5 linked regions of the Oryzias latipes genome follow. The protein of the gene in region 1 interacts with the protein of each later gene in a biochemical or structural test. Links are inferred from orthologs where the notes say so. Each region holds a gene or a part of one and is shown on either strand. Other genes may lie near its edges.

The links.
Region 2: of the proteins of runt-related transcription factor 1 (region 1) and cdk1, one has a biochemical effect on the other in vitro, tested with the Homo sapiens proteins (2 studies listed by BioGRID). The link is inferred for Oryzias latipes from reciprocal best matches to the Homo sapiens genes RUNX1 and CDK1.
Region 3: the proteins of runt-related transcription factor 1 (region 1) and elf2 form a complex in vitro, tested with the Homo sapiens proteins (2 studies listed by BioGRID and IntAct). The link is inferred for Oryzias latipes from reciprocal best matches to the Homo sapiens genes RUNX1 and ELF2.
Region 4: the proteins of runt-related transcription factor 1 (region 1) and probable E3 ubiquitin-protein ligase DTX2 form a complex in vitro, tested with the Homo sapiens proteins (2 studies listed by BioGRID, with this or other methods). The link is inferred for Oryzias latipes from reciprocal best matches to the Homo sapiens genes RUNX1 and DTX2.
Region 5: the proteins of runt-related transcription factor 1 (region 1) and c-fos form a complex in vitro, tested with the Homo sapiens proteins (2 studies listed by BioGRID). The link is inferred for Oryzias latipes from reciprocal best matches to the Homo sapiens genes RUNX1 and FOS.

What each region holds. Positions count from the first base shown.
Region 1 is NC_019860.2:1,352,328-1,357,695, reverse strand, and holds part of runt-related transcription factor 1, read right to left. Parts: intron 4,247-5,368; coding exon 4,090-4,246; intron 1-4,089.
Region 2 is NC_019873.2:1,585,673-1,591,775, reverse strand, and holds cdk1 (cyclin-dependent kinase 1), read right to left. Parts: upstream 3,932-6,103; 5' UTR 3,924-3,931; intron 3,884-3,923; exon of another isoform or gene 3,739-3,883; intron 3,575-3,738; 5' UTR 3,569-3,574; coding exon 3,532-3,568; intron 3,243-3,531; coding exon 3,086-3,242; intron 2,653-3,085; coding exon 2,529-2,652; intron 2,246-2,528; coding exon 2,075-2,245; intron 2,006-2,074; coding exon 1,842-2,005; intron 1,729-1,841; coding exon 1,587-1,728; intron 1,483-1,586; exon of another isoform or gene 1,342-1,482; coding exon 1,225-1,341; 3' UTR 1,129-1,224; downstream 1-1,128. Other genes in the region: ctu2 (cytoplasmic tRNA 2-thiolation protein 2), read left to right, coding at 188-254, 480-538, 828-888. UniProt on the Homo sapiens protein: Plays a key role in the control of the eukaryotic cell cycle by modulating the centrosome cycle as well as mitotic onset; promotes G2-M transition via association with multiple interphase cyclins.
Region 3 is NC_019859.2:5,671,495-5,676,862, reverse strand, and holds part of elf2 (ETS-related transcription factor Elf-2), read right to left. Parts: intron 4,133-5,368; coding exon 4,019-4,132; intron 3,893-4,018; coding exon 3,713-3,892; intron 3,484-3,712; coding exon 3,397-3,483; intron 3,278-3,396; coding exon 3,085-3,277; intron 2,996-3,084; coding exon 2,591-2,995; intron 2,517-2,590; coding exon 2,351-2,516; intron 2,271-2,350; coding exon 1,674-2,270; 3' UTR 1-1,673. UniProt on the Homo sapiens protein: Isoform 1 transcriptionally activates the LYN and BLK promoters and acts synergistically with RUNX1 to transactivate the BLK promoter. Isoform 2 may function in repression of RUNX1-mediated transactivation.
Region 4 is NC_019872.2:28,223,360-28,229,179, forward strand, and holds the start of probable E3 ubiquitin-protein ligase DTX2, read left to right. Parts: upstream 1-2,061; 5' UTR 2,062-2,701; coding exon 2,702-3,011; intron 3,012-3,385; coding exon 3,386-3,974; intron 3,975-5,820. UniProt on the Homo sapiens protein: Regulator of Notch signaling, a signaling pathway involved in cell-cell communications that regulates a broad spectrum of cell-fate determinations.
Region 5 is NC_019882.2:17,150,764-17,156,729, forward strand, and holds c-fos (c-fos protein), read right to left. Parts: upstream 4,151-5,966; 5' UTR 4,006-4,150; coding exon 3,871-4,005; intron 3,513-3,870; coding exon 3,291-3,512; intron 3,196-3,290; coding exon 3,088-3,195; intron 2,975-3,087; coding exon 2,709-2,974; coding exon of another isoform or gene 2,673-2,708; coding exon 2,309-2,672; 3' UTR 1,825-2,308; downstream 1-1,824. UniProt on the Homo sapiens protein: Nuclear phosphoprotein which forms a tight but non-covalently linked complex with the JUN/AP-1 transcription factor. In the heterodimer, FOS and JUN/AP-1 basic regions each seems to interact with symmetrical DNA half sites.

The sequences.
Region 1 (5,368 bases):
GTTTTGTTTAGCAACTATTTTGTGCAGCGCAAAGTTGCGTGTCTGTATGAACAAAGGCCCTGCGTTCTTCATGGGTGTCAGGCTTCATGGCTACCAGAAAGGTGACAAAGAGTCTGCAGTGTCATTTGGGGCCCAGCTCGTCCTGGGCAATATATAATATTCTGAGAAGATGTCTGTACCAGAGAGCGTGCAGCTAGAGAGCGGTCCACTGCAGAAGAATCAACAGGCAACCCAACACACATGACCGCACTCCGTCCTCCTAGTCCTACACACAACGCAGCGCGCTCACACACACACACAGTCAATCTTGGGGGGGGGCTCCGGTTGACCGCGATACCACACCCCTGTAGGTTCATCACCGCGGTGATCAAAAATCAGACACCGTCACAGTCTGGTCTGAATGGGCCTCAGAACCTGTTAGTGGTTATTATTAATTGGATTTGGAATTGGTTTATTTCAAGCAATCAAAACAAAAATATAACTAAAGAAGATAATGTATGATAGGTGCAAAAGGGACTCTGGTCGCTTAAGGAAAAGGTCAAGACAGAATTCCAAAATGAAGACGGGAACGACCGAAATGGATCATCTTCAAAGCATCTTTCGCACGTTCAGGTTTGATATTAGGAGCCCAGAGCAGAGCCAATGGCAAACAGCTAAAAATAGAGGTGAACACCTCTGTCTCTGGGGTTAGGAAAGCCATGTGGGGGTTAGGAAAGCCATGTGGGGTCATATTGAAAGACCTGGAGGAAAGACTGATGGTCTATTGTTGTTTCAGTTGAGTAAGGGAAAGATGATTTTGGAAGACCTTTCTTGACAAGAGAGAAAGGGACATAATTTCCAGTAGAAGATTCATCTGGTTAGAATTGAACCAGCAGAGTTTTTAGAATGGGTGACCGTGTTGTGGTTGCAAACCAGGCCTCACAACTCATCACCTATCTTCTTACACAAGATCGGTTTTCTCCTTTTGGTAACTGAACCGACATTTCCAAAGCTGGAGATGCTAAAGCAGTAGCACCTTGCTAATCGTATAACTTCAAGTACAGCTGTATTTTTGTGAGCCATAAACAATATCTGCGTATGTCCAAGGTTGCAGTTTGAACACAGGTTGAGAGGGAGAGACCTCCAGTTGGTTCTGGGTTCAGTGAGGAGTGTTTTAGACTCTTGCTGTGCTTGCGCCACTCTTTCAGTGATGGCAGAAAGACTGTATATTTTTTATCAGTCTTACTTTGATTCTTGGTGCACTGTAATATCTTGTGATTCGATGGTCTGGGGGCGCTCCCCTACCATTGGATGGAGAAAAAAATCCCATAGGTTCAAGTGAGTTCTCAACTTGGCTTTAAAATCACTCGGTGAACAGGCCTGCCTAACCTGCATAGGGAGTGCATTCCACAAGCTGGGGCCAGCAAATTTACGATGAGAGGTCTTGATCAGAACTACACGGGTACCACTGTACTGATTACAAGCCTCTTCTTGGATTCTTTATGAAGTTGAAATGGAATTTCCTCTGTACGCAGCGCTGGGCACCCTCTTTCCCAACATATCAACATTTGAGCAAGGCACGCAGTGGATATGCAAATGCTGATGCTTCCAGTTGACTTCCTCTTCCTGACACTCCAAGTCAGACTCGGTTACCAACAGAGGCTGTGTTTTTGCTAGACAAACTGTCGTTCCAGTGACAGTAAGGCAGGCCTAGAACTTTACTCCAGAGTGTCAAGTTTGTCAGACTGGTGTCTTCTTTGCAGGAACCTGGATCGAACGTGCGTCTGCGACCAGTTTGTGGATGATGAGAAGAACGCCCACACACCCAGGCACTCAGTTTAAACACATTCAAAGTGTCTGTGGTGGGACGGAAAATTCCACCATGGAGTTTTATTTTCTATTATTTTGCATAAGGCTAGTTTCTATTTACACCCGCCAACCTCAAGGGTGGAGGTGTGATAAGGTGTACCTCTAGAATGGTGCTTGAAATGAAACACACCATGCAAATACAAACTGTCCATGCGTTCTTAAACTTTAGGACCCTAACACGTTGAATAAAACGCAAAGTATTTTTATTTGACCTGCCTGCATTATGTCGTCTCTTCTCCTTATCTCGGGTTTTCATCTTAAATATGCTCAAGATAAACAAAAGTGTGCTGAAACCAAACGGGAACTCAGATTTGGTAGGGACGTCTGGGTAGTGTCCTTTTAAAAACACCGGATTGTCAACTGTCCAAAAGCCAGGAGCAAGATTCACGAGATTAGCACTGTTTGACATTTCACACCAAGAAACGTCCAACTGTAAGTGCAAGTATTGAAATGCATGTTCAGCAAGTTCTCGAACGCCCAACACATGGTCGGCGTGTATGTAGCTTTACTCCAGAGGTACAGAAATGAATGTGGGCTTCATCAATGGTTTTTTGCTATTTTTATGCACACAAATAGTTTAGAGGTAGGAATCTTAAGCTGACTAAAGTAGCACTGACAAGGTTTTCTAGAATTAGAATTGTTTTTCTACTTTTCGTACAAAATTACCTCAAAGTTAGAGGTCTTTTGTCTGTGAAACACAGTGTCAACGTACATTTTGTGCATTTTCCACATATGAAAGTTTCGTGACTAATAAGTGACAATTCATGAGTGTTTCTAGCATTGGTCATTCGTCAATGTGCTCAGATTTCTGTAATGGGGTTTTGGCCGATGGGTCTTTACGTAAATCCAGTTTTAAACTGTTCCAAATTTTTGGCTGGTTGAGAATTACGTAGTTTACATGTATTTCATGTAGTTTATACGCAATTATTACGTGAATCTTACACAATTTTTTGTAATTTTTATGAGATGCAAATGTTTGGCTTTCCATGACGGTTCCACGCATGTCTAACAGACTTTTCACACATGAACCACTGATGTATAACTTTTATATCGAGTATACGGCGCCCAGATCGCGTTCAAATTATGTAATTGATGCATGAATCAATAATGAATTGGATATTAGCAGCGCAATAATTACACACGGTTCATGTTGTATGGTGATTTACGTGTTCTTTGAGTGGTTTATTCGTACTTATCCTGTGGTTTTAACGTGGTTCAGTCCTGATACATCTGTGAAAATTTCACGTAAAGACCACATCCTTTCTCACCTTTTCACGTATCTTCACATATGACATATTTCCATCCGTGCAATATGTGCAAGATGTACGTAGTGACTCTGGGTCACAGACTTTAGTTTAATTTGTTCATCTTTGCTCTTTAGCCATACATTTTTGCTCCCAATAAATCCACCAAAGGACAAGAAGATGTCTTTTCGTCCATCTTTTTCCTTCGTCGCCGTTGACGCTTCAAAGCTCAACGGCCTGCTTGTTGCGAACAGTCTGCAGCTGTATCTTCAGATCCTGTTGAATGAAGCTGGGAAAACTCATCCCATTGTAGATTGTAGTGAGTAGAGCTGAATTTGAATGTAAACAAATGCTTTGCTATTTGAACTCACTTCATTTGAATGTGGCCGTGGATGAATTAATAATACTCACAGTGGCCAACCACAGCACTAAAAAAGGCCAAACAACAATCGTGACAGCTCTTCAGCTACTTCCTGTCAGGTTGAGCAGTAGATGTCTTGGTTTGTTTGTTTTTTCTTTACTGCAGAGCTGATGGAGTCTCTGCAAACGTCTGCTGCTTTAAATAGAGCGGTTGAAACATTTGCCTATAACTGATGTGGAGTAACTGCAGTTGGGTGTGTCGGTTGAAGACTGACGCGGGTGGGAGGGTGAGGCAGGAGGAGGCAGACGCTGAACCAGATGTTGGGAGGAAGTTGCGTGAATACAGTTTTTATTCAGATGTACTTCCCCTACTTTATGGACTCTGCACGGTATACTTGTGGAAAACACTTCAAATACGTTTACACAAGCCAAGTCGTAATCCCTGACACTTACGTTGACACTTTTTTAGCAACGTTTACCGCTGCTTAACTGAAAAGTTTCACCTGAGACTATTAACCTCATGGTTGGGTCACACCAAAGACTCTACAAAGCCTTGACAAATCTCAGAATCTAGGGCTTGGTTGGATATTTTAACCCTGACATGACCTCTGAGCACGGCTGTGACCGCTCAGCTCACCTCTCCCACTGCGCCCAACGAAGCGCAGGTCATTGAACCTGGCTACTTGGCTCTTGATGGCCGCAGTGGCGTTGCGAAGCTCGGCCGAGTAGTTCTCGTCGTTTCCTGCCATCACCGTCACCAAGGTGCCGTCAGGGATGTCGCCAAGGGCGACCACCTGGTTAAACAGGGGTTTGAAACTGAATCATACAAGACAATAAAAGCGCAAATCACAAAAATAAAACAGGAATAAATTCAAGAAAATGTAGATGTATATATTCATGTATTATCAACATCAGCAGATGTACACTTTTTGATCACACACACTTGTGGTCATGTAAATGTTGAATTTTAGGGATTTAATCAATGTACAAGGAGGTCATATCCTAACCTGTTTTCGAATGTAGTACCATTTTAAAGTTGTTGGTGACAGTTCATAAATACGCATAAGTCCAAACACAAATGAACACAACACAAACAGGTGCATAATTCAACAACAAGATATTGAATTGAACACATTACATCATCGCAGTAGACACTTTAAGAGTCACAGGCTACGTCAGAATTCCCACCCTTCTCCCTAACTATCAGGTTACAACAACTAATTCTGAATCCACTGTATTCTGATGATAAAAACATTGATGCTTTATTAAAATAAAATACATTTAAATGTTTTTTTTAGCAAATCCTTGTTGTCTATATTCCCCTATCTAGTGAGCATTGATGCACACTTAAGGGGAATTTCTAGGGCATTTGCTTCTGGCATTATAGTTTGGGACAGCACTACAAGGTGAGTAGTGTAGGATTTCAGTGATTTCAGTGGGAAAAGCAGAAAGACGGCCGATACTGAACTTGAATAAATAAACAGTTATGGTTTCACATACACCGCCTACAAACACCTGTCTTTTTTTGTTACCGTGCCCCACGAAACTGTTAATACCTCTGGGGTTAGCGAACCGTCTATACATACGGTGTTCTATAAATTATACAAAATAATTGCACTGTATGTCAATACAGTTTTTCTCAGTCGCTTTAGGACAATTCTCAGATCAGAATGAAATTCCCCAAACTATTTGTTCAATCTTCACATCATGATGTCACTTGTGCACATCATGTAAGCAGTTTCTCACTTCTTTGAACAAGTTGCAATTGCTTTGGTACATCCATGCAAATGATTATGTACAATTCTCTGCTCTTTGCTACATTATCAATTGTTTATGTCATGTTGATCAAAATGTATTATATAGTTCACTGTGCAATAGTCTTACTCCTCAAAACACAGAGTCATTACCGTAGTTCA
Region 2 (6,103 bases), on another chromosome or scaffold:
GAATAAAAAATGGCAGACACACATATTATACACTGAATAACTTTTTTACATATTGGTTTTGTCCATAATTTTATATAAATGTTGTTAATAAATTGAATAAAGCAACAAACGAACCTGCAGAGCCGTTTGGGAGCCGAAAGAACCGGATCTCCTGTGGGTGAAGTTCTGGATGTGCTTTTGGTTTCAGAGCTCCAGAGAAGAAGGACCTGCAGAAGCTGCTGTGTTACAGCTGCCAGCTGACCCTCAGAGACATGGTGAGACCGCCACCATCTTCTGCTTCAGTCTGCTGACTTCATGGAATGGAATGAGTAACTGAACCAGTAATCCTGAAGTTTTAGCTGAAATCAGCCAACATTCTTCTGATTTTGAAGCTGACTATAGAAACCAGCAAAAAATAGAAACTACTGATGGTAACAGAATAGAAACTGACAGCAGCAGCTCACAGACCAGACTCTGAAGTGCTTTCTTCATCCTTTCAGTCTTCAGTGGCTCATCTTCCCCAGTACATCCTGACAGAGGCTCAGAGGAGGAAGAGGAGGTGAGGACAAACCTTTATTCCATGTAGTTTTAGGTTTAAGCATCATTTAAGCTTCTGAACAACACAAGACTGCATCAGCAGCTTTTCCTGAAAACAGTGAAGTGTCATTCTTGACCTCTCAGTCATCACTGGATTTTATTCTAAAATAGTCCTGTTTCTGTGAGCAGACCTGCTGGTTTGTCAGTTTTCCACACGAGCTTCACGCTGCAGATGTTCAGACTTACTCCGCTTGAAGGCGGAGCGGTTTGGCCAAGCAGCTTTCAGCTGTTTATTGTTGCCGTTTCTGCAGGTCTCTGATGAAGGACGAGATCAGTGAGTTCCTGCTGGAGGAAGAGGAGGGCAGCAGCTGATCAGACATGAGGAAGAAGACTCCTGGTGGGCAGAGAAGCTTGTTCAGGTGTAGCTCCCTCCAGATCGGTTTTGGGAGACTAAATCAGTTCTTTGTACCTTAGTGGCCTTTTATTAAAATGGTTTTGGTTTCATGTTTCTGCATCTAATGCAGAAATCCAGCAGCCAGAACAAACATCTCAGGTCTTTGGCAGGATTGAAGAGGGTTGCTGACATCAGCAGGGACAAAAGCCACACCCACCAACACTTGATGAAAACCTTTATTCACACATTTTTCTGGAAAATATTTCCAACACAAACACACAAGTATTTACAGAAGAACGGGGGGGCTCAGGCCTTCAGACGCCGTTGATGCAGGCGGCGGGCAGCGTGGACTTGTCCAGGTCATCAAAGTATGGGTGGGTCATGGCCTCACGTGCAGAGATCCTCTTGGGAGGATTGTAGATCAACATTTTCTAAAAACACAAGGAGGGTTACTGAGGAGGAACTGGATGTTCAAAAGTAAAGGTCTGGTTTTGAAGGGTTCTGCTGACCCCCGGTGGTGGTGGAGGGTGTTCTGAGATCATTAAAGAATAAAAAGACTGAAATGTTCCTTAGTTTGGTGCTTTTCTTTGGAGCCCCCGAAGAGATTGCAGCTGACCCCACCCCATGAGAAATGTCCACTTGATCTACTTTATTCATAATCTGAAGAACTTCTCACCGCCAGCAGGTCCAGGCCGTTCTTGTCCAGGTTCTTCACCATGGAGGACAGGCTGCCCTCCTTCCATTTGGGGAAAGTGTTTTTGTAGTCAGGCAGGCTCTCCACATCCGGCCAAACGTCATTGTTGGGGGTCCCCAGAGTCCTGCAGACGGACAATAGAGCCCCTTTACTCTTCAAGACCTGATTTCTCCTTGTAGAATCAGTGTGTGTGTGTGTGTGCGCTGAAAGAAGCTGAATAGTTCTCCCACACGGTACCTAAAGATCCTGAAGAGCTGGTCGATCTCGGAGTCTCCGTGGAACAGGGGCTTCTTGGTGGCGAGTTCAGCAAAGATGGTACCCGTGCTCCACACGTCCACTGGGGTTGAATATCGGGGGGAACCCAGAAGGACCTCAGGAGCTCGATACCACAGAGTCACAACCTGAGAACGAGAAGCTTGGATCAGCTGAGCAGACCTCAGCGTTGGGTTCTGCAGCGGAGCGGTTCCCACCTCGTGGGTGTAGACCCGGACGGGAACACCGAAGGCCCGGGCCAAGCCAAAGTCTGCCAGTTTGATGACGCCCTTGTTATCAATCAGAAGGTTCTGGGGCTTCAGGTCGCGGTGGAGGACCCGCCTTCGGTGACAGAAGTAAATGCCCTCAAGGATCTGATAGAGGTAGCTCTGTAGGGGGGGGCAGAAAAGGGAACAGGCTCAAAGTGGTAGACTGCTAGTTCCACACCAGAACATCCTCACAGACAAGCAGCACAAAGCATCATGGCTGCCTCAGAAGAACTGATGAAGATCTGTGATGTTTGGAGCTGCAGTCCGTGGTTAGTGAGGAACCTGGTGTGTTATCATTCAGAGACCCCCCTCCCCCAGCTGAAACCGGGATGTTCAGCTTAATAGAAAGCGTTTGTCACAACAAAGAGTAGGAAATCTAAAAACGAAGCGCTGAGTGTTTTACCTTGACCAGCATGGGGTCCATGTACTGTCCTGACGGGATGCTATCCAGGTACTTCTTCAGGTCCATGGACAGGAACTCAAAGATCAGGTAGAGGCGAGATTCCTGCATCAGGACATCCAAGAGCCTTTCAGGTGAACACAAAGGTGGAACCATTATTGCACCTCCAAGATCAGCGGAGGGAGTTGAGGGATTCGGCATTAACGCTACTCTGAACATCCCTACAGAAGGACTAAAGAGTTAAAAACCCAAGCAGGACCCCTCTGGAAAGAACATGGAAGCAAGTGGAGGCCTCCCATTACACGTGTGCACGTGTTCAGGTCAGAGTTCATGATCCAACAGTCAGAAAGGGACTTCTGAACAATCATGGATCCACAGGAGAGTTCAAGGAGAAAGAAGTGCTGAACAAGAACAAACATCTGGATTATCCCCAAACGTTCAGATGAGACAAGAGGGACTAAAACCCAGCACCTTTGACCCGGACATCACCTCACTGCATTTTACCTGCAGCGCATGGACATTAATGTCAGGAACCTGTTCAGCGCACACGTGCAGCATACCGGACGACGTTGGGGTGCTTCAGCTCCTGAAGCAGCGACACCTCCCTGACAGCGGTGCTGGGAACTCCCTCCTCCTCACTCTCCAGGCGGATCTTCTTCATGGCCACCACCTGTCCCGTGGACTTGTGCCGGCCTTTGTACACCACCCCGTATGTCCCTGCAGACACCAGAGCAGAGTCAGGGGATGAGGACTCAGACGTCCCAGAACCACTGCAGTCACCCCATCACTCAGATTGTGGTGCAGGGGACCATGATCAGAATGAAGAGCCAGGATCTGAACCAAAGCAAAGCTTGAGACGTCATCCTGGGACATCTCCATATACGGGTGGAGGAACTTTCAAGGACTTCCAAGTTCAGCATCCAGGTGGGCCTCTTTGGTGGGTTTCACCCCCCAAAAAAATCTGGACAACATTTTAGAAAAACAAAAACATTTTTACTCCACCAACCTTCTCCGATTTTCTCTATTTTCACGTAGTCCTCCATCTGTCCCTGAAAGAGAAGACAAATCCTCTCAGCTCGGACTTCTGCAGATGTTCAGACTCCAAACGGTCAGATCCTCCGTTGAGAACCGCTGAACGTTCAGGCCTGAAAACCGTAAAACGAGCAGCTCGACGTTACAGAGACAGAATAAAAACAGTAGGAATCGAACCAACCCCACCGACTTTCACCGGCCAGCTGAGGCCTCTCCAAATCTGAAAACCAGGTTGGGGGAAAACCGAACCGAGCCGTTACCGGAAGGCGCGTGTCCGTCCGCCAACGCGCCTCTCCTCATATCAAAGCGGTACCATTTCATGTCGTGATCTACCGGTTGAAGCCGTTAACGGTTGCCGCTTCTTACCTCCGTGCTGTCGCTGCTCACGCTGCGGATACAAAGCTGACACTCTTTAAAATTGAGCGCAGGACTCGGCTTCAAAACGCACCAATCAGCGCGCTCGACGCTGTTCAAAACAGCTAATCAACGAGCGGGAACGTAGCTGGACGCGCTGACGTCATACAGGTCTCCTGTCTGCGTGCCTGAACGAAAACACATTCTGGATCAGTCTTCCTGTCTCCCCACTAAAGTTTTTTTCCTTTCTCGTTCGTTGGTTTTTAGATTTAGTGCTTGCAGCTTTTTTCGTTTCTGAAACCGTCCCTTTGTTGACTTCCATATTTCAATCTTTCTTTTTTTCCTTTTAAAACCTTTCTTTTTAAATTTTAATTTTTTCCGCTTTTAATAGTTTTTAAAGAATTTTACTTCCTTTTTGTTTTGTATTAAACATTTTTATCTTCACCGTCGTTTTAGTCTTAATCGTTTCCCTGGAAAGCTGTCTCTCGTTGTTACACTCGTCTTCATCCTCTGTTGTTGCTGTTCACCATATCCCTTCAGCTTTCACTGATCTGCAGTCGGTTTGGCAGAGATATGTACACTGAATGGCCTTCCTGACACAATCCTGTATTTACTTTAGGCCGGGACCGACACTTTCTGGCTACATAGTTAGGCAGGAGCCTAACACTGGATGAAGCTCATTGCACCCCATGGGAATCAAACCCGGGTTTCTCATGCACCAGGCCTACATGCAGCCAATGTAGTCATCCAGCTGCTCTTCTGGCCATACTCTGGACTTTGCTTTTTCTCAAAAACTCTCAATTTTTTAAAATGATTTTATTCTTATAACTTAGCAAGAAAATGTGTTTATTTTTTAAATAAATAACATTGAGTTTTCTTTCTAAAACTATTAGAAAGGACACAATAGGTTAAAGAAAACATTATAGATAATGTGCCACCTGGGGCCTGTTTCAGAAAGGAGGTTAAGTGTAAACTCTGAGTGCGTTAACCCTGAAATCAGGGAAACCCTGGGTTTTCTGTTTCAGAATGGGAGGTTTGTTAAACCAGAGAAAGCAGAGTAAGTCAAACCCGTTTCTGAAAGAGAGGTAACTTATACTCTGAGTCAGTGTCCATGGTTACTTACGCTGTGAACCTAACCTGGTGGGGAGCAGGTTTTATTCTCTAAACTCAAGGTTTCTGCCGGTCCCCTCCCCTTTTTAAAGACGAAGCGATATTTTTCGCTTTAACCTTCATTGCCCAAATGTCCGTCACACAGAGACAAGTGACAAGAATGGCTTGTCCTTTTTTGGAGGACCCAATAGACGAGGAGGCTGCATTAATTCGTAGAGAATTACATTTACCTCGTACGAGGATTTTGAGACCTAGACTCGATTTTTTGTCATTTCCCCATACGTTTTTGTTTGAGCGTTACCGTTTTTCATTGCAGTCAATTACATATATACAATGAAAACAACATTAGATATTGCTATGTAGATGTTTCATATGTCAAATATTGTCAACAAAGCCTACATCCATGACATGCTCAAATTTGACCTGATTGAATTATGTTTTTATACTTCATTTTTAGCTGCTGCCGTGTTCTTTTAATTCCTGCAGGATTGCATCTACATGAAAATGAAAACAGGGACATTGAATTAGATTAATGTAACAATTACTTTTTGGAAACACAATTTGCTAGCACTGCTTACTTTCTTAATCCCATATAAACCTATACCACTTGATCAATACAAGGGTAGACAAAAGTTCACTTTTAAAAACACAATTGCATGTATTAATATTAAACTGACCAACGTTTGCAAGAGGGGAAGGTTAACAAAAAAGTCCTCTAAACATTACCGACGTTAAATGCATTTTTTCCCCCAGATTGGTTCTGTACACTATGCAGCATTTCATGCAATTACACCAGGAATAACACTTCAAAAGTACACCTAAATATCACCATTTTTTATTTCACACCTTACGCTATTTAAAAAGTTATTACAGTCAATATTTTATAACAATGATTTAAATGCAAACTTGCGCATTAACTTGAGCAGCTATGTTTTCCCACGCTAACTGTCTCTGTTTTGCAGATGTAGCGGTGTTGCTTTTCTTCTGGAATATGTGCTCATATTCACTGTAACTCTGCAGCAGCATGTCAAGTTCAGCTGGAGAAAAATACGCAGACCTCTTTTTTTCACGGTTGCCATGGT
Region 3 (5,368 bases), on another chromosome or scaffold:
ACAGCGGTCCCAGACTTCTGCGGCCGGAAAACCTTTAGTCCACATGCGTCCGCTCCCAGACGGGCTTTCCACACATTCCTACTTCATCCGACAGCATCAGTTCAGAGCCGCGTGTGCTTTCAGGCAGCAAATCGCAGAGCAAACGTAAAGAAAGACACCTTTTTTTTCACATTTAGACCTGAAACGCTGAGCAACACGCTGCCAAAAAAAAAAAAAAGTGGGGGGGTCAGAACAAGCTGATTGGATCATCAGAGAAACAGAAACAAAATAGATCCATGCAGTGGTCCCTTGATGTAACGCCGTTCATCATTTGCAGATTTTTTAAGAGTAACTTTCATTCATCTTCTAAAACCGTTTTTTTTTTTTTTTTTGGGGGGGGGGGGGGTCGCCAGTCTGTCGCAGGGCCACAAACCACACACCCATGCTCCCACATTCACACCTAGGGACAAGCTAGAGTGACCAATGAACCTCAGAGCCATGTGTTTGGACGGTGGGAGGAAGCCGGAGTCCCCGGAGGGAGAAAGGCTCCAGTGTCAACTCCCCATTGGTGTCCTGTTGCCCCCAGCTGGGACTTGAACGTGGGGCCCGCTTGCTGTGAGGCAAGAGTGCTGACCACTGCACCACCGTGCAGCCCTGGAGTATGTGGTCCATAGCTTTTTCTGACAACTATTCATATCTCTCGTTTTGCTCTTAAGTATCAAAGTACTTAACAGTAATTTTGTCTGCTTGAATTTTTTTTTTGACCCTGTCAATCAATCTCTGTACTGTCTCCTGTACAGAATGCGTTCAGTTTGCCAAATCCATATAAATCTGAGATGTTTTTGTTTTAATTCTATAACCCTGAACTTATTTTTCGAGGTGGTTTCAAACATTGAAACAAGAAAAGAAAAAAGGGGGAAATGTTGGCGTTTGTTTGAGAAAAGGGTAGAAGTATGGGGGGTGGGGGGTTACAGCCTTAAAACATACAGACTCCTTGAAAAAGTCATGATATTTTTGGTACTCCCGCGATAAACGAGGGACCACTGTACTACAAATGTTAGTCCCGTTGCCGTAATACTGCGCCTGGTACAAAGTATTTCAACACACATTTTTACTCGTCATTTCCAAAAAAGCTGAAATCTAGGATTGCTGTTAACATTAGCTCCATAAGCTGTATAGACGGTTATATATATATACATACATGACGAGTTCCTGTCTGACAAACTGCCCTCAGCTCACCTTCCTCTTCCCGCCCTCGGCCTGCACAGTGATACACGTGTGTAAAAAAAAATAAAAATCAAATAAAAACTGCTGGTTTTGAACAATTCTAGAAGTAGAAACACTTTAAAAAGCTTATCTTTTTGTCTTTTTACAATGTGGTTGGCTGCAGCTCTCTGCCTCGTGTAGTGTTGACGTTTGTCAGTGATCCGGCCAGAAGGCGTGGCCTGTAGTGATGCAGGTTGGTCCTTTTCAAGTCTGTATTCCTATGATTCAGAGATCCAGACCTAAGGAGGTTCTGTGGAGGTTCTGTGGAGGTTCCGTCAGTCCGTGTCAGTTCTAGGCAGCGACGGGGAGAAGGACTAAAAACAAACCTTTAAAGTCTCACAGGTTGCTGCTGGTTATTACAGGTAAAAGTAAAATTGACCTCAGAAATGTAAAAACTAGCTTTAGTCTAAAGGAGGTGAAGAAATGTTTTAATACTCGGGCTCCTCCATCTTAATCCCGTCTGGAGTTAACAGTTTGGTAACCACCTTAGCGTCCGCAGCCTCCGGCTTGAGGTTCTGAACAGTTTGGGGGTTCGCCGGGCTGGGCTGCACCTGCAGGGCCCGCGCAGTGGCGCCCGCCGCCTTCAGCTTCTCCACGGTGACGCCGCCCGGTCCTATGACCAGCTCTGTGCCGTTGATGATGCCGCCGATGATGTGAGGCGGCGGCGCGCCCACCGCCCGGTTCCCCGCGGACACGGTCACCACGCCCGCCCCGCCGCCCATGCTCCCCGGCTGCGACACCACCAGAGTCTGTTGTTGGGTCTGGGGGGGCACGGTGAGCCTCATCACCTGCGTTCCCGGGACAACGTTGACGGGCGTGAGCGCCCGGACCGTCAGGGGGCTTCCAAGAAGGCTGATGCCGGCAGGCGGGACTGCGGCGGCGTTGGCTTTGTTGGCGCCTCCCTGGAGTTGGCACTGGGCCAGCTGGTGGGCCGGGATGGTGATGATCTTCGCCAGCTGGACTGTGATCTTATCCCCGTTCTCGGCTGTGGCCGGGACCATGGTTGGAATAGTCTGGATCACAACCTGAGCATGGACAGGAAACACTTAGGGAAGCTTTTCAGAGAGAAAACATTTCCAGAGCTTCAGCTTGGGGTCCAACAAACCTTCTGCTGGGAGTTGGCGTTGGCTGCGGCGCCGACGCTGGAGGCGCTGGTGAGGATGGTGGTGGGGCTGGCTGCCCCTGCTGGCTGCTGCACAGCCACGGTGGAGATCTTCTGGCCCTGTGATGTTGTCATGACGACAGGAACCTGCATTGCCACCCGTACCGTCCTGCGATTGAAAAGCAGAAAACGTGAGATGTCGGTCCGTTGGGTAACCGATGCTGCCCCTTCAGGGGTTCTAACCTCGGCCCGGCGGCGTTGGACATCCCAGCCGTGCTCTGCTGCCGGCTCTGGCTCCCGTCCGGAGCCGACGAGACGGCGACAATCCTCGGCCCTGCTGTAGTGATGGTGGCTCCGCCTCCTGATGGCGACTTGCTGCTCGCGGCGACGGAGGTTTGGACCACGCCGGCTCTGTTGGCTCCTCTCAGAATGTTGGGTTTCTTTGAAGGCGGGAGCTCAGAGGCTTGAAGCAACATGTCGGATGGAGGAGGGACGCGCTCGTACGACGCCGCCGTGTCTGAGGCCATCAGGTCATCCGACATGTCCGCCTTGTCGTCAATGATGATGATGTTTTTGGGCATTTCCTTAAACTGGTAAACCAACCGCTGGCCCTCGACCTTGGAGAGGATGCCGCGCTGGTAGTAATATCTGAAGACGAACCAAAACCCTGATGTTAAGATTCTGTAGTTTTGTCTTTTTTTATGAAGAATTTTCCTGACAGTGCAAACACTCCCCACCTGAGCGCTCGTCCCATCGTCTCATAGTTCATGTCAGGCTTGTTCTTGTGTTTGCCCCAAAGCCTGGACACGGCCTTGGAGTCCACCAGCTTGAAGATGCCCTTCTCCCTCTGAGTCCACTTGATATACCTGGGACAGGTGTTCTTGTCCTGCAGCAGCTCCAGCAGGAACTCCCACAGGTACGTGGTGCTCCCTGGTGCACACCGAAAAAAACAGACAAACTTTACCCACAGACCATTGCTCCTCAGAGCATCAAAACCTGCATTGTGACCAACGCGGTTGGAGATCTGACCGCACGTGGCCGGCACACACCTTTGCCTTCTCTCGGCTTCTTCTTAATGCTGAGATCCACGGAGCCGTTAGAAAAAGTGGTCTGATGGATCTTCGGCTTCTTTCCAGCTGCACAAATGAAACATTTTGGTGAGCCGAGCTGCGAGTATCAGAACAATATGCACTAGATGGCGATTCCGGGTAATGAAATTCATCTTAAACAGCTTTTTCCTCCTCATTAGTGCACATAAACACCAAATATTCCAAATTTATTACAAGATTCTTAAATAAAATGTCATTTTTATAGATTTTTTTCTCCCTCTCGTTTCCCTAAGCACAGATCTCCGTTCACACGTACCCCGTCTCTTTCTGACAGGTTCGTTATCAAGCTCTGGCTCTTCCATGGAGGTGACCATCTCATCTTCCTCCTCGCAGCACTCCTCTGTGGAGATCTCCACCTCTGTGTCTGTAATCATGTCAGGTCGCATGGCAGCCAGGAGGAAGTCCGGAGTCACTTCACACGGTGGGACTAAAGTATCTGCGCAGGAATCAAACAGGAGAGATCTTTATTGCGGCGGCCAACTGCAGTTGTCTTTAAAGAACATGTGCACAAGAACGACAACAGCTGGACGGCGTTGGTGTGCTTTTTTTATTTTTTCTTTACCTGGACTTCGGTCTCCTTGGAGGCTGGAGGGTGAATCCATGTGAAGCAGAGCCTCTGCAGCTTCTATAGTTTTGTCTGAGCAGTGAACGCTGGTGAAGTGAACAGACGCCTCCACTGCAACAGTCAAGATTTGACAAAAGATCAGCTTTTAGTGAAACAAGCAGTCATTTTCATCCAAGAAAAACTCTTATGTTTAATCATCTTTCAATCTATTGTTAGATAGCGGTCTCCAAGTTGTGGACGAAACCGTTGACGCGGAGTAAGCCTGCCCCCATTTCCCATCATCCATCTGTTTATACACTCCCTGGCTAGCTTACAGCTAGTAACAACCGGCGAGCAATATTAGAGCTATCCAGCTGTACAGTTCTGAGCCAAATACCAGCTCGGACGAGGAAAACAAAAACGTCAACAGATCTATTCAACTACAAGTGGAGGCATCAGAATGGAGCGGAGCAGGGAGCTTGGGGCCCGCCGATTGCAGCACCAATGTCACTGCTATGAGCTTTTACCAGCAGCATTGTTTCGTCTGCTCCTCAGAAATGCAATTTCAGAAAAGCTTCATTTTCTTTAAATGTGTCCATCATAATCAGAAAAAAAATTTAAAATACCAAAAAGCTGACAATGACCAAAAAAAAAAAAAAAACAGTAACACAAAAGACGCCCCCTAGTGGTAGGTCTAATTGTTTATTGGGTGCATTTTAAGCATGACTAACTCACTAAAATCCAAAAACACCACAACAAAAGCTACAATTTTTCAGCCACTCATAGTAGTTAAATGTTTTTAAAACAGTTACGGTTTTAATTGCAATGTTACAGTACAAAAAACAAACTACAAGTGTTATTTTTGATTAGATAATAACAAAAAATGTTTTAGTCCACATGCCGACCATTGATTGTGGCAGATTATTATATGTGAACCCTTTAAACCCTTCACCTGAGAGAATTTATAACCGTTAAGTCGAAAATTAACTGCAGCCTGTTGTGAGGGAAGCTTTGCTTCCTCTGGGACCCTAAGAATGAGCCCGGGACACCTGCTGTTGTTGTCACTCAATGGGAAGGCACAAGAGATATGGTTACACCACAGTCCACGTTTGGCCTTCTAAGGCAACAGGCACCGTGCAGAGACGACAAATCTGCTATCTTTAGATTCTCTCACTCATTCACCAAAAATAAAAATAAAAAGATGGGACACGTGTTGGATATTTTGGTGTAGATTTTAAATTCCACAGAGCTGTCCTGGACACTAGAGAACCTGCCAGAAATGCCAGCTTAACTATAGATGAATGCTTAAATTTCAAGACTATTTCCTGCCATTTGGAAATTTCAAAACCTTTCGTTTTATGAAACGGA
Region 4 (5,820 bases), on another chromosome or scaffold:
TTTCCTTCTTCTTCAAAACTCAAACATTTTCATCCAATCAGGGATGTCCAACCATTGTTTTACACTTTCTGTTTTTTTTACTTGTTCTGTCCAACAGCTGAGCACACAGCTGACTGCTGAAGGCCTTTTATGTTGGACAGGTTTGACTGGGCACACAAGGTATATATTTGAATAAACCCCTTTTCCCAGAGAACTCAGGGATCCCTCTTACTCTCCCCACCTTCCTTGTATGTGTATTTGTGTGCATGCATGTGTGTTGGAGTCTATATTGGCACTTATAATTGGCGGGTAGGGCACTGAGGGAACGTCTTCTGCTTGTTGGAGACAGTCTTTCTCTAAAAGGATCTCTGAAGTTGGTTCCTTCCTGTGATGGAAGCAGTCGCTGAAGGAGGAAACGCAGCAGCAGAGGCGGCGTCCTGCAACCATCATTTCAAATCTGACCGTCGGCGTCTTCATCCATGTCTGAAGCACATGAGAAACTAAAGACTTTCCAAAGGGATTTACATTTTTCACTGAAGATTTGATAGAACTTGAAGCTTTTCTGAGGATTTGATTTTTATTTTTGTCTCCTAAGGGATCAATATCGGCTCCTCACAATCTTCTGGACTGGAAGTAAGGAAGGAGGAGGTTTGTGGACAAGCTGTAATCCCAAAGATGCTTCTGCTAACGCTCCATAAAAAGCAGATTTACGGATAATTAAAAACAGTCATTTATATTTGGCAATAAACTCTCTGGACACTGTGTCTTTTTGGAAAATTAAAAATGATGGTAGGACATATATTTTTACTGAAACGGCCTCGTCCCAGTTTGGTTTTCTTTATGATTAAGGTAACTTTATGAAGCGTTTGGGTTTAATCTCCTAAAAGCGTACAGTCTTGCAAAAGGAGAAGTTTGCTGCTGCTGCAAAACTTCAAAACTTTCAGTTCATGAATTGTTAATTTCAGAAAGATCAGGAAGGTTTCCTCATCTTTCATGTGGCGGCTCTAAAGGTGGAAACACTAAACATGAATCCTTCTACCAGCAGTGCATTCAGGGCTTATTCACTTTTTCCAAATGTTTTATGTCTTGTTTCAAATAGAGTAAACCTCAGGGAGGCGTCAGTTTATTAAATGAAAAGGGCCTTTTTGACATTTAAACCTTCAAGGCACCAGAACCTGGGTTTTTTTGCATCGTTTTTCTTTATTTGGGCCTCAGAGGTCCACAGACATTCCCTTTCTGACATGTTCTGCTGAATGAAAGCTCTCATGCAGACAGGTAGGTGTCCTCTCAAACCCAACCGACTCCAGAACCGCGGGTGGACGTCAGTGAAGCCCACGCATCTCAGAGATGATCCGAGCAAACAGGAGACACCGGGGTTTCATTTAAGCCTTTGACGCACTATTGATGCAAACCGATGCTTCTGCTTCATACTCACCTTAAAGAAAAAACAAAGTGTTTTTTCATAAAATTTCCGGGGGTAAACAATTACTTAGTTTTCTTTTATTTTAAAATCTTTTCTTTTTCCCAGTGTCCAAAAAACAAAAGTGTTCTTTTTATGATTTTGTGCTATTTCAAACAACAATAAAAAAAAATTTCACCCAACATTTGCTTTAAGGGATTTCAAACATTTTTGTCTAAACATATATTCTTACGTTGAAATAATAATAAATAATATGATTGTATTATTCAATATTATAGAGTCTCTAATATAATTTCTATTGTCTATGTGGAACTAAGTTTTGAAGTTTAATAATAAAACTGTAATATTTTATGTTTGGAGTACCATTGTACAAATGTAAATACTAAGATCATGAGGACTTGGTTTTAACCAGTTCGGAAAATTGTGACATTCTGACAATTTTTTTTAATGTAATTCTTGTGGCAAATTGAACACATCTTTTATTTTTTTACAGTTCCCTTTGATCCAACAGTCGTAGTTTTCTTTTGCTCAACCTTTCCTCTTCTGAGTATTTTGTCGTACCGTTTTGTCTCCGTTAGGGGGCAGCAGAGTTTTTGAAGATTCCAAAAAGAGGAAGAGGTTGTTGTTTTAAAAGAAGAAGAGTGTGAAGTTCAGGGAGACTTTGTAAACGTAATTTTGAACGGTAATGTGTTCTTCTTGAAAGGTTATTTGTTCTTTGGTTAATAAAGCCGCGTACTCTGGTCTTTGAAGTGTTTGGCTTTAGAATTAAAAAACACACAGATCTACTCAAGAAATGTACATTCTCCCATCTGTCCCCGACTCACCACAGACTTTGAAAAAAAAAGAGGTAATGAAGGACGCTTTTTGTATAGTGGGGTTTAAATGTAAGCAATTTAAAGTCATTTAAACCAGCAACACTAGCAAGTAGATATTTATGTTTGTTTTGTGCTTGCATGTTTTTACAGATTAAAATTCTGTTTTACGAATCTGAGTTGAGCCAACCTGTCATCGGTTTGAATGCAAAAATTCAGAGGGCGCGTGAAGGCAGCTGGTGGAGCAGAGGAGGAACCTTAGCAACGCAGTTGTAAAGCTAGCGTTTCCCCTGATAGAAATGTCAACATGCACCTTGGTGTTCACGGAGAGCGCGTAGTGTTTTACCTGCAGGCCTCTTCATGCTCCCACGTTCATAATGAAGCTCTTTAGTGAGCCAAGCTAGCCCCGCGGACTTTGGCTTTGTCGTAGCCCCGATCGGCTAGCTAGAACGAGCCGCCGTTAGCTTAGCTAGTACCTCGGTCGGTGAATATGGCGATTGTGTCTGGATCGTGTTCCCGGGTGAGCAGCTCCAGAAACGGGCCGTCGGTGTCCGCCGCGCCGTCCCCGTCAGTCGGACAGTCTCAGCCAATGATAGCGGTGTGGGAATGGCAGGACGACCAGGGCTTCTGGCGGCCGTACAGCGGCCAGGTCTGCTCCCACATCGAGCGGTCCCTGTCCCCGCGGGGCCACCGGGGAGCCGGACCCAGCTCCACCAGCGTCTGCCTCGGACAATCAGATCCCAGTCTGTCCCCCTACCTCATCGACATACCGAGCCTGAAGCAGTTTCGACAGGATACAGGTAAACCGCTTCAGCACCACACCTGAAGTCCGGATTCAGATCAGAGATTCTGGTTTCCGTCGTTCATTTTGTCTTTTTAAACTGCATTTCTGAGAAGATGATGTTGGTTCAGTCAGCTGGTCTAGAAAGCAGCAGTACACTTTAAGTTTATTTTATTAAGTATACTTGAGTACACGTATAGCTAGAATACTAGAGACTATGTAGATTTAGTGAAGTAACTGAGTATTTCTTGGAACATTTTGAGTCCAGGAATAGACAGTATGGAAGTGAACTTCAAGTGCATCACTTTTAGTATAGACCAAGTACCTTTTGTAGTACTCTTACAAAGAGTACTGTCTTGCTGAAGGTAAACTCATTTGCGGGTTTTTGTGCAGGAACCACGCGCTCCGTGCGCCGGTCTCTGTTCCCCCAGTCTTCGGGCCTCGGCAGTGGCGTTTACTGGGAATGGGCCAACGATGAAGGGGGCTGGACTCCGTACGAGACCAGAACTTCCATCCTTCTGGAGCACAGTTACCAGGCCCGCCAGGGGACCGCCGACCTGGGCCCTCACGGATACAACTACATTGTGGACCTCACGTCTTTCGCCCAGGTCAACAAATCAACGGGTTTCAGACGGCAGGTTCGTAGACTGGGCAACTCCCCGTTCCCGCTGGCGTCCCCGGGGCCCCCGGCTGTCCCCTTGGGGCCGGCCTGCTCCTGCCAGCAGTGTTTGAGCCACAGCAGCACGGGGCCCATGCCCAGCCGCTCCCGACATTCCTTTTCTTCGGGGAGTCTGAACCGACCCGGCCTGCAGGGACCAGGAAGGGCAGCCGCGACCCACCCCACTTCCGTCTACTCGCCGTATCCCCGGAGGCCCCACTCTGTTGGGGGGATATCCTGGGGCAGCCCCTGGCTCCCCCCTCCCTCTGCCAGTCAGATCTCGGCGTCGCACCTGAGCGGCTCCGCCAGCGCCAACGGGCTCAGGTGGGTTCCGCCTCTCTGTCCGGGGTTTCTGGTATCTGCTAAAACGCTGCCGGTCCCGTTCCAGTCGCCAACACGGATCTGAAGTCACTTTGTGGGGTCAAATGGTTTTACCTGAACAAATGTGGGACAGACATGGATAAAATAGGAACTCTTACATTTTGATTTGATTTGATTTTTGATTTGAAATGGTTTATTTCAAGCAATCAAGGAAGAAAAATACACAAAAACAATACAATCAGCATATTTTATTACATGTTTTATCTTTATCCGGTTCAGAACTTTTATCAGACAGAATTAAGAATCTTTTGGTGTCAATAAATCTCATGATAAAGATGAATTTCTTAATTATTATGTAAAAATAGACATAACTCTATTTTAGAAATAGCAAATGCAGATCAATTATCTAAAATATAAGCTGATTATATTCATTAGAACAATGATGTATATGATTAAAAAATAATACTATATCAGTAAAATAGACATAACACTGTTTCAAAAATCTTCAATATCAAAAATTGATCAAAGTTCAAAAGTTAAAAATATGTGCAAAATTAAGTTTCATTAAGAAAAACCATGAATCCATTTTTGGAGCAAGTGAAGTAATGTAATTAGAAATCACTCATTTTAACCATCTTCGATAATTGATTATGCATTATTTTTATCTTTATTTTATCTTTTTTTTATTTTAAGGTAGTTCTGTGAAATCAAATAAAATGAGAATAAAATCCTTGGTTGTGTCTGAATTCCCACCCTAACCCCAAACTACATAGTGCAGCACTGTGTAGCGCCCTGAATGTTAAAGCGATTCGGACGCCACGCTCACTACTTGTATTTTTTAGACGGCGGATATGACGTCATCGATTTCACAAAGTTAAAATCGAACTGATATGAGCGTTTTTGGACGAGTATTTATGAGTCTACTGTCTTCTGAAGATAAAAACATTAATGATTTATTAAAAAAATACATTTTAATGCATTTTTTTTTTTTTGCCAAAAATTGTTTCGACGCAATGCATTGTGGTCTATATGTGCCGTTTTTTTGCAGACACTTCTGGGAAATTTCAAGGGCACTCCATTTTGACAGCACTAGAAAATCACTATGTAGTGCACTCTATAGGGGTTAGGGCTGGAATTCAGACACAGCCTTTGTTTTGCCACCAACAGTGAGAGGAAAATGCCTTCATGGATGTGATGCATCAATTCTGTAAATACAGCTTTTGTCGGCGTTGAAAGCCGCCCTGCTTTTGGTGGCAGCGAGGATTTGCTCTGCTGGGGTTCTTCCATTTCCCACCCGCTTCTCTTCCTGCCTCATCGCTGAGCCGCCCTGCAGGGCAGCAAAGTGTTTTCTCAGGCTCACTTCCTGTCACTCCTGAGTGCATCGTCTGACCTTCCTTCCTCTTCAAAGCGGTTCCTGTCCTCAGCCGGGCTGAAGATCCAGACCCTCCTGAGTTCTGCTGGATGGGCTTCTTCTCCAGACTTCCACAGTTGTTGCTTGTCCTAATGTTCCCCTTGGAGGTGTCAGGATGCTGCTTCGGAGCCTCAGGAAGCTCCTCCTTCCATCTGGTGGTTCTGCTTCAGTTCCTAAAATGTTCTGATGAAAGCTCCAGAAAGTTCCAGTAAAGGCATTAAAGAGGCAATGTTTGGCATTCCTCCAGAGCTGCTTCTTCTCTTTCCACACAAAGGCAGCTTGAGAGCTCCATACAGCAGCAACTCTCTGGGCTTGGACCGGTACCGGTCCGTGTGACAGTTGGTACCAGGCCGGAGAGAACAAAAACCGTTATTTCTAATCTAATTCTGAAGGAAGTTTTGGAAAAACAACCGACTTCTGTCCACCTCATTCTCAGCA
Region 5 (5,966 bases), on another chromosome or scaffold:
ACCCACTAGACAGTGCGCTGAACCTTTTTTTCTTCAATGATTTGTGATCTTCACTGGTGTCCTTGGATTACATGAAATCTTTCCACCTTTATCCACCTTTGTCATGGTAGGGAGAACACGTCAAAGTAAGGGTGGGGTCATCTAAGACAGCACAACAGGGAAAGACTGAATGACTTCCTAAAGCTGTACCTTCCTTCATTAGAAAAGTGGCAGAGGAAGAGTTTATGTGAAAACAGAGCCAGTCCCAACAGAGCTTTTGTTCTTGGCATGTAGGCGAAGTGTTTCATCATTGCTGTTCTCAGTTTCAGAGGCTGGGATCTGAGTCTGTCTCCCTCCTTGCCATCCTTGTATACCCGTCATTCTCTCCTCTCCTCCTCCTCCTCTCCCTGCATCAGCGTACGCTGGCTGGTTTCTCCCAAGGGTTGCGGCACCAACGCAGGCTGGCGTCACAGCAGTCTAATTTTACTGCTGTTGATGCTGCTGTTATCGCAGCAATAGGCACCTGCTGTTATTTTTGCCGCTGCCTCGTCTCCCCGGGCGCAGCGATGAGACGTTTATAGATTTTCCTGGCACTGCGTGGTCACACCAAGAAGTTTCATGAAGGAAAAAAGAGCTTTAGCGCAAGCAAAAATTGACAAGCAGAATCCGCCTGTTATGCAACAACTGCTTGGCATCAAAGAAAGGGGGTCAAAACAGATTTATTCCAAGCATCAAGTGGTTTTAAAGCATGATATTTCACTTTTTAAGTATTAAAAGACCAGATTTCTTTTAACGTGTCACCCAATAACATGAGGCAATAAATGCTTAGACATTGTCTTGTGCAACGTAAATGAGTGTGACCTAAATGACTTAGTCTGCTGAAATTCTGTCCTCACACAGAATTTCCTGTCATAATTGGGCAACCTGCCTTCTGATGACATGAGGAAAAGCACTGATGAGGGACGAGCAAACATGAAAGATGATTAAAATCCTATGACAAAATTTACAAGGAGTGCACAAAATCATTTTCACTCAACATCTCCAACACACAAACCATTTCAAATCGTAACTTGAGAAGTGTTAAGTTAATTTGTAAATATGAAATTGTGTAAAACTTTATATTACAACATATTAATGTCTTAAATTTGTTTGATATATGTACTTTTTTAAATTGTTTATTTTGTTTTTACTGATTGAAATAAACCAAACAGGAAAAAAATAAAGAATTAGATTTTTTCTTTCATTCTGATATAAACTGAAGTGCATGAACCCTGCAGATCAAACAAAACGAAATAAAATAAAAATATTGTATTCAGAATGATTTGCTTTTGGTACCAGCGAAACAAGCCCTGCTCAGGCACGGTCAATCAAAATAAACGTAATCTTGTATCCGCTCTGTTGTCTCGTCTTTTTCGGTCAGAACGGCTAATGACTAATTTACCAAACCAGCGTAGTTATTGTTCCTTTCCGTTGGATATACCGACAGTTTCGGTGGCTCTCTTTGCAGAGAAACCCCTGAGATGTGCGAATATAAGCGGAAGTGAGAAAAAAAAAAAAAAAAAAAAGAGCCGTCAGCCCGCAGCACAGCCACCGACTCCACTGGAATTCTATATTTGGGCACGGAAGTGCAACGTGATTGCGCAGGGCGTTCAGGACAAAAAGAAAATGCAAGAGAACGCACTGACGTCAAAGCCCTGACGTACAGTTAGCCTTGGCAACAGAAGAAAAATAGCTTGAAGCTACTGACGCTTACGAAAGCGGAAGACACTCAAATTAAACCTGTGTATAATATCTCAACATTATTCTCGATAGGTATATGATTAAAGTGACAATCAGGCAAATAACTGCGTTAATATATATTTTTTATTTGCACAACATTCGTCTGTAAAAATAAATAAATACAAATTTCATAAATTACAATGTTTTCACAGAAAACTTCACAGTCTGATGGACTTGCAGACCATGGCACCACAGCAGTTTAATGAAAAAAATAAAATAAAAAAAATCTACTTTGACATTTAAATAACAAAAAACAAACCAGAATTATACAGCTATTGCTCTGAAAACACATTTATTGACAACAAGTATTGTTATCTAGCACCATAAATATAATAGTAACTTAGAACAACTAGGTGTTTGTTTTTTAAATATATATAAATCATGCTTAATAACTTGCTACATTGGTGTTAATAGGCAAGTAGAGATAAAGGCAGGTAACATATGATTTGCCATCTGGTGCATTCCTGTTCCAAAGCTCATGCCTCTGCACAGTTTGATAATATTTCAAGACTTGATGGGAGGAAATACTTTTTTTTTTCATTGAAAGTCCTTAAAGAGTTAGCAGGGTGGGTGAGTTTAGAGAGTCTGAGGGATGGTCATTGCTGTTGCTTCCCCTCCTGTGTGCAACGCCACAGGTGGGGAAGGTCTCAGCTTCTGGGAAGTTGAACACCAGAGAGAACGTGTTGGTTGTGCAGGCTGGAGTACAGGTCACCACTGGTGTGCACAGGGGCTCAAAGTCAATGTTGGTTGAAGAGGCATGAAGAGGCTCCCATTCCTGGTTACTGTAGAGGGAGCTGGAAAGGTCAACCTCTGGCACAGACTGTGCCGTCTTTATGTCCGCTTTTTCCAGCAGGTCCAAAGACTCCTCCAGAATGGAAGCCTCGAGGTCTGTCATCTTGACAGTGCTGTCGGAGGTGGTGGTGGTCGTGGTGGTCGAGGTGGTGGTGGAGAGGACGGAGCTGGAGAAAATAGAGTTGGAAGTTGGAGGGATGGTTTGCTGGCTGGAGGTAAATGTGGGCATGGAAGACTCTGTGGTGGAGAGGTATGGGTGGGTGGAGGAGATTGAGGTCAGGGGAACCTCGGTCTGCAGCTCTGATGGGATTTTGCAGATGGGCTGGTGGGCAGCCAGGATGAACTCCAGCCGTTCCTTCTCCTTCAGCAGGTTAGCAATATCATTCTGCAGACTGGACTTCTCATCCTCAAGCTGGTCAGTTTCCTATCAGATGGGAAAGAAAGAAAGTGTCACTTAGTGGGATGTTGGATTGGTTATTAAGCTCTGGGAAAGAACACATTTTCAATAAGTGAGGGTAAATCTGAAGGGATACTTACAGCTTGAAGGGTGTCTGTGAGCTCTCGCCTCCTGTTACGGCATTTAGCTGCTGCCTGCTTATTTCTCTCTCTGCGGATTCGTCTCTTCTCTTCCTCCTCAGGGCTTATCTGCAAGAACAAAACAACAAGTTGAGACTCCAGCTCTAAAAACACATTTCAGCTGTTGCATCACTTGAGATTTAGAAAAAAAAAAGATAATTCACCTTTTCTACTTTGCCACGTTTGGAAGAGCAAGCCTTGGATGAAGACCTCAGGGATGATCTGGGGTAAGCAGGACTGGGGCTGGAGCTGTAAGGGTGAGCTCTGTGGGAGGGGGCCATTGAGGAGACCACAGGCTGGACCATCCACTGCAGGTCTGGACTTGTTGAAATGGCTGTGACCGTGGGGATGAAGGAGGCACTTGATGCTGTCAGGTCAGTGAAATCCTGAGAGAAAGAGGGAGGGGAGTCGGGAAGTTAGTGATGCTTTCAGGAGGGTTTTAAAACACTGGGCTTTAAAAATATCTCAATGATGTCAGCTCTGACGTTATGTATCCTCGGTGGAGTGAAAACTGCCTTGCTCTGTGTGCAGCAGGACAAACATGCTCCTTAATTAATTTTTTATGACTCTTTATAAAAAAAAAAAGTAGCTTGTTTTCAGGTTTTATTTATTAATTCTAAAATGTTCAAATTAATTTGAAAAAGTTTTGAATTAACCTGGCCCACTGACTTTCACTCAATTTAATTATAAATTAAAGTTCAAAAAGACTGTGAAGCCATCTAAGCAATCGTCGTTTCAATTTACCTGAGACTGAGGAGATCCCATGCTGGAGTAAGAGCCCGCAGGTGACGGGTAGTATTCCAGGTTGTCTCCGGACGGAGACGCGGTGCTGCAGCGGGAGGAAGAGTCGCAATCTGTGCTGAAGGCGGTGAACATCATACTTCCCGGAGAAAACAAGAAGGAAGATTCCAGTAAAACTCCTCTCAAAAGTGGGTAAATTCCTTTTTGTGGCTTTGAGAAAGTTCCTTGAGCGCTTCTTCTGAAATGGAGCAGGACTTTCTACTTTGCTAATCGAAGTTGATCTAGTTGCTCCAGCCGCTCAGATCGGTTTTATATCCTCCTGGTGGTGTGACGCAGCGCGGGGGAGGAGCCTAAAACCGTGAGAGTGAAAGCGCCAAACAATCACATAGCAACGCCGCTGTGGCGGGAATTATGGCTTTTGTTTCGTCAATATACAGTCATAGTTAGCGAAAACACAAGTTATTTGTAATAAAACAGCAAAAAGAAACCCGTTGGAGCTCGTTTAATGTTCAATTTGACAAGAAATGGAATATTCCATAAACAGGATCGGGATCCCCGAATCCTACGTCATTTACCATATATGGTGCATCCTGTAAAGGGGCGGACCTTGATGGGAAACACACCATCCGACATTGGCCGAGCGGCGACACGACCTTACGTAAGACAACAAACAGCGAGGCTGCTGAAAAAAAAACTGCAAAAGAAACGGGATAACGATACGAAAAGTTTGTTCTGCCCAAACAAGAACAGTAAACAAAAACTAAACATCCAGATTTTGGGGGATTAAATGTCACACGAAGTTACAGTTAAGGGAAATGATCGTTCTCTTCTGGTTTCATTTTTTTTCTCCTCTTTATCCAGTTTTGTATCTTACTTTTTTATTTGGACACATATTTAAAATGTGGAAATCTTTTTCCACGCGGTGATTTTTCTATTTGGATAAACATAATTAAGAACAGTTCAAAGTGGGACAGAAGTTCACACCCTGACCCTGATGCAATGCTTGTTCCCATAAAAGGGCGTGTTCAGCTCGCAATTGCTTTGTTTGCAATAGTTGTCCTAGACAGCGGATTAGTTTAGTCTAGGTGAGGTGTGCCCAGCTCTTCACAAAGGTCTTCCCCCAAAGGAAAGAGGGAATCCTCCACCTTTCACTTGATTTAAATCCCACTCAGCAACTGTCACCTAAAAGGGACAACAAGAGGCAGCTTTGAAGCTGGGCCAATAATCCTGACTCAGTGCTCTTAAGGAAGTTTGATAATAAGACAACCTTTTGCTTATTTATTTTGTTTTACATTTGCTTGCTGATTTGTATATGGAAATATCTATAAAATAGGTTGTTCACCTTTCGGTTCATCCCGTTATGAGTCTCCACAGCACTCAGCACAGGTGGTTTGGAAGAGAGTTTTTACGCCAGATGCCGTTCCTGACACAGGCCTGTCTTTTCAAGGCACAGGGAGACCCAGGCAGCTCATTGCACGCCCTGGGTATTGAACCCAGGTAACATGTATACAGAATTATGCTTGTTATATTTTTTTTTAATGTCTAGTTCTTATAAAAATGTAATTAAATAGCAGAAGTGTGCACCGCTATAATATGCTGCAATTACTTTACATAATTATATGTTTACATAAATTTATGATAACCCCTCTAAAGAAAAAAGTGGTAATGGCTATTATAAAATCTATAACTATTTTTGGTTTATTTTAAATGTATCAGTTTAATAATTAAAGTCTAAATTATTTACAGTGGTGTCATTGTGGTCATTTGTTCATGTCAAAGGACGACAGTGTTTCATTTATTACGACTTTTCTCCCCACTTTTGTGTTTTGTTGAACATTCCTGGTTGCCGAGCAACACCCAACCCCTTCGCGTCAGTGACGCAAAAGAAGGAACAAAGATCGTATCTGTATTGCAGAGGGACTCCTCCGTCTAATTAAATTGTAAACCGGCAGCGGTAGGATGAGAGGTGCAGAGAAAGTAGAGCAGAGTGAGAGCTCTGTCTGCGCTGTTGGTTTCACCAGCGGCTCTTTTCTGCTTGCTGACTCCATAGAGCAACGGAATGAAACCAGACACCGAGCAGCCCGGCTGGGTTGTTAGAT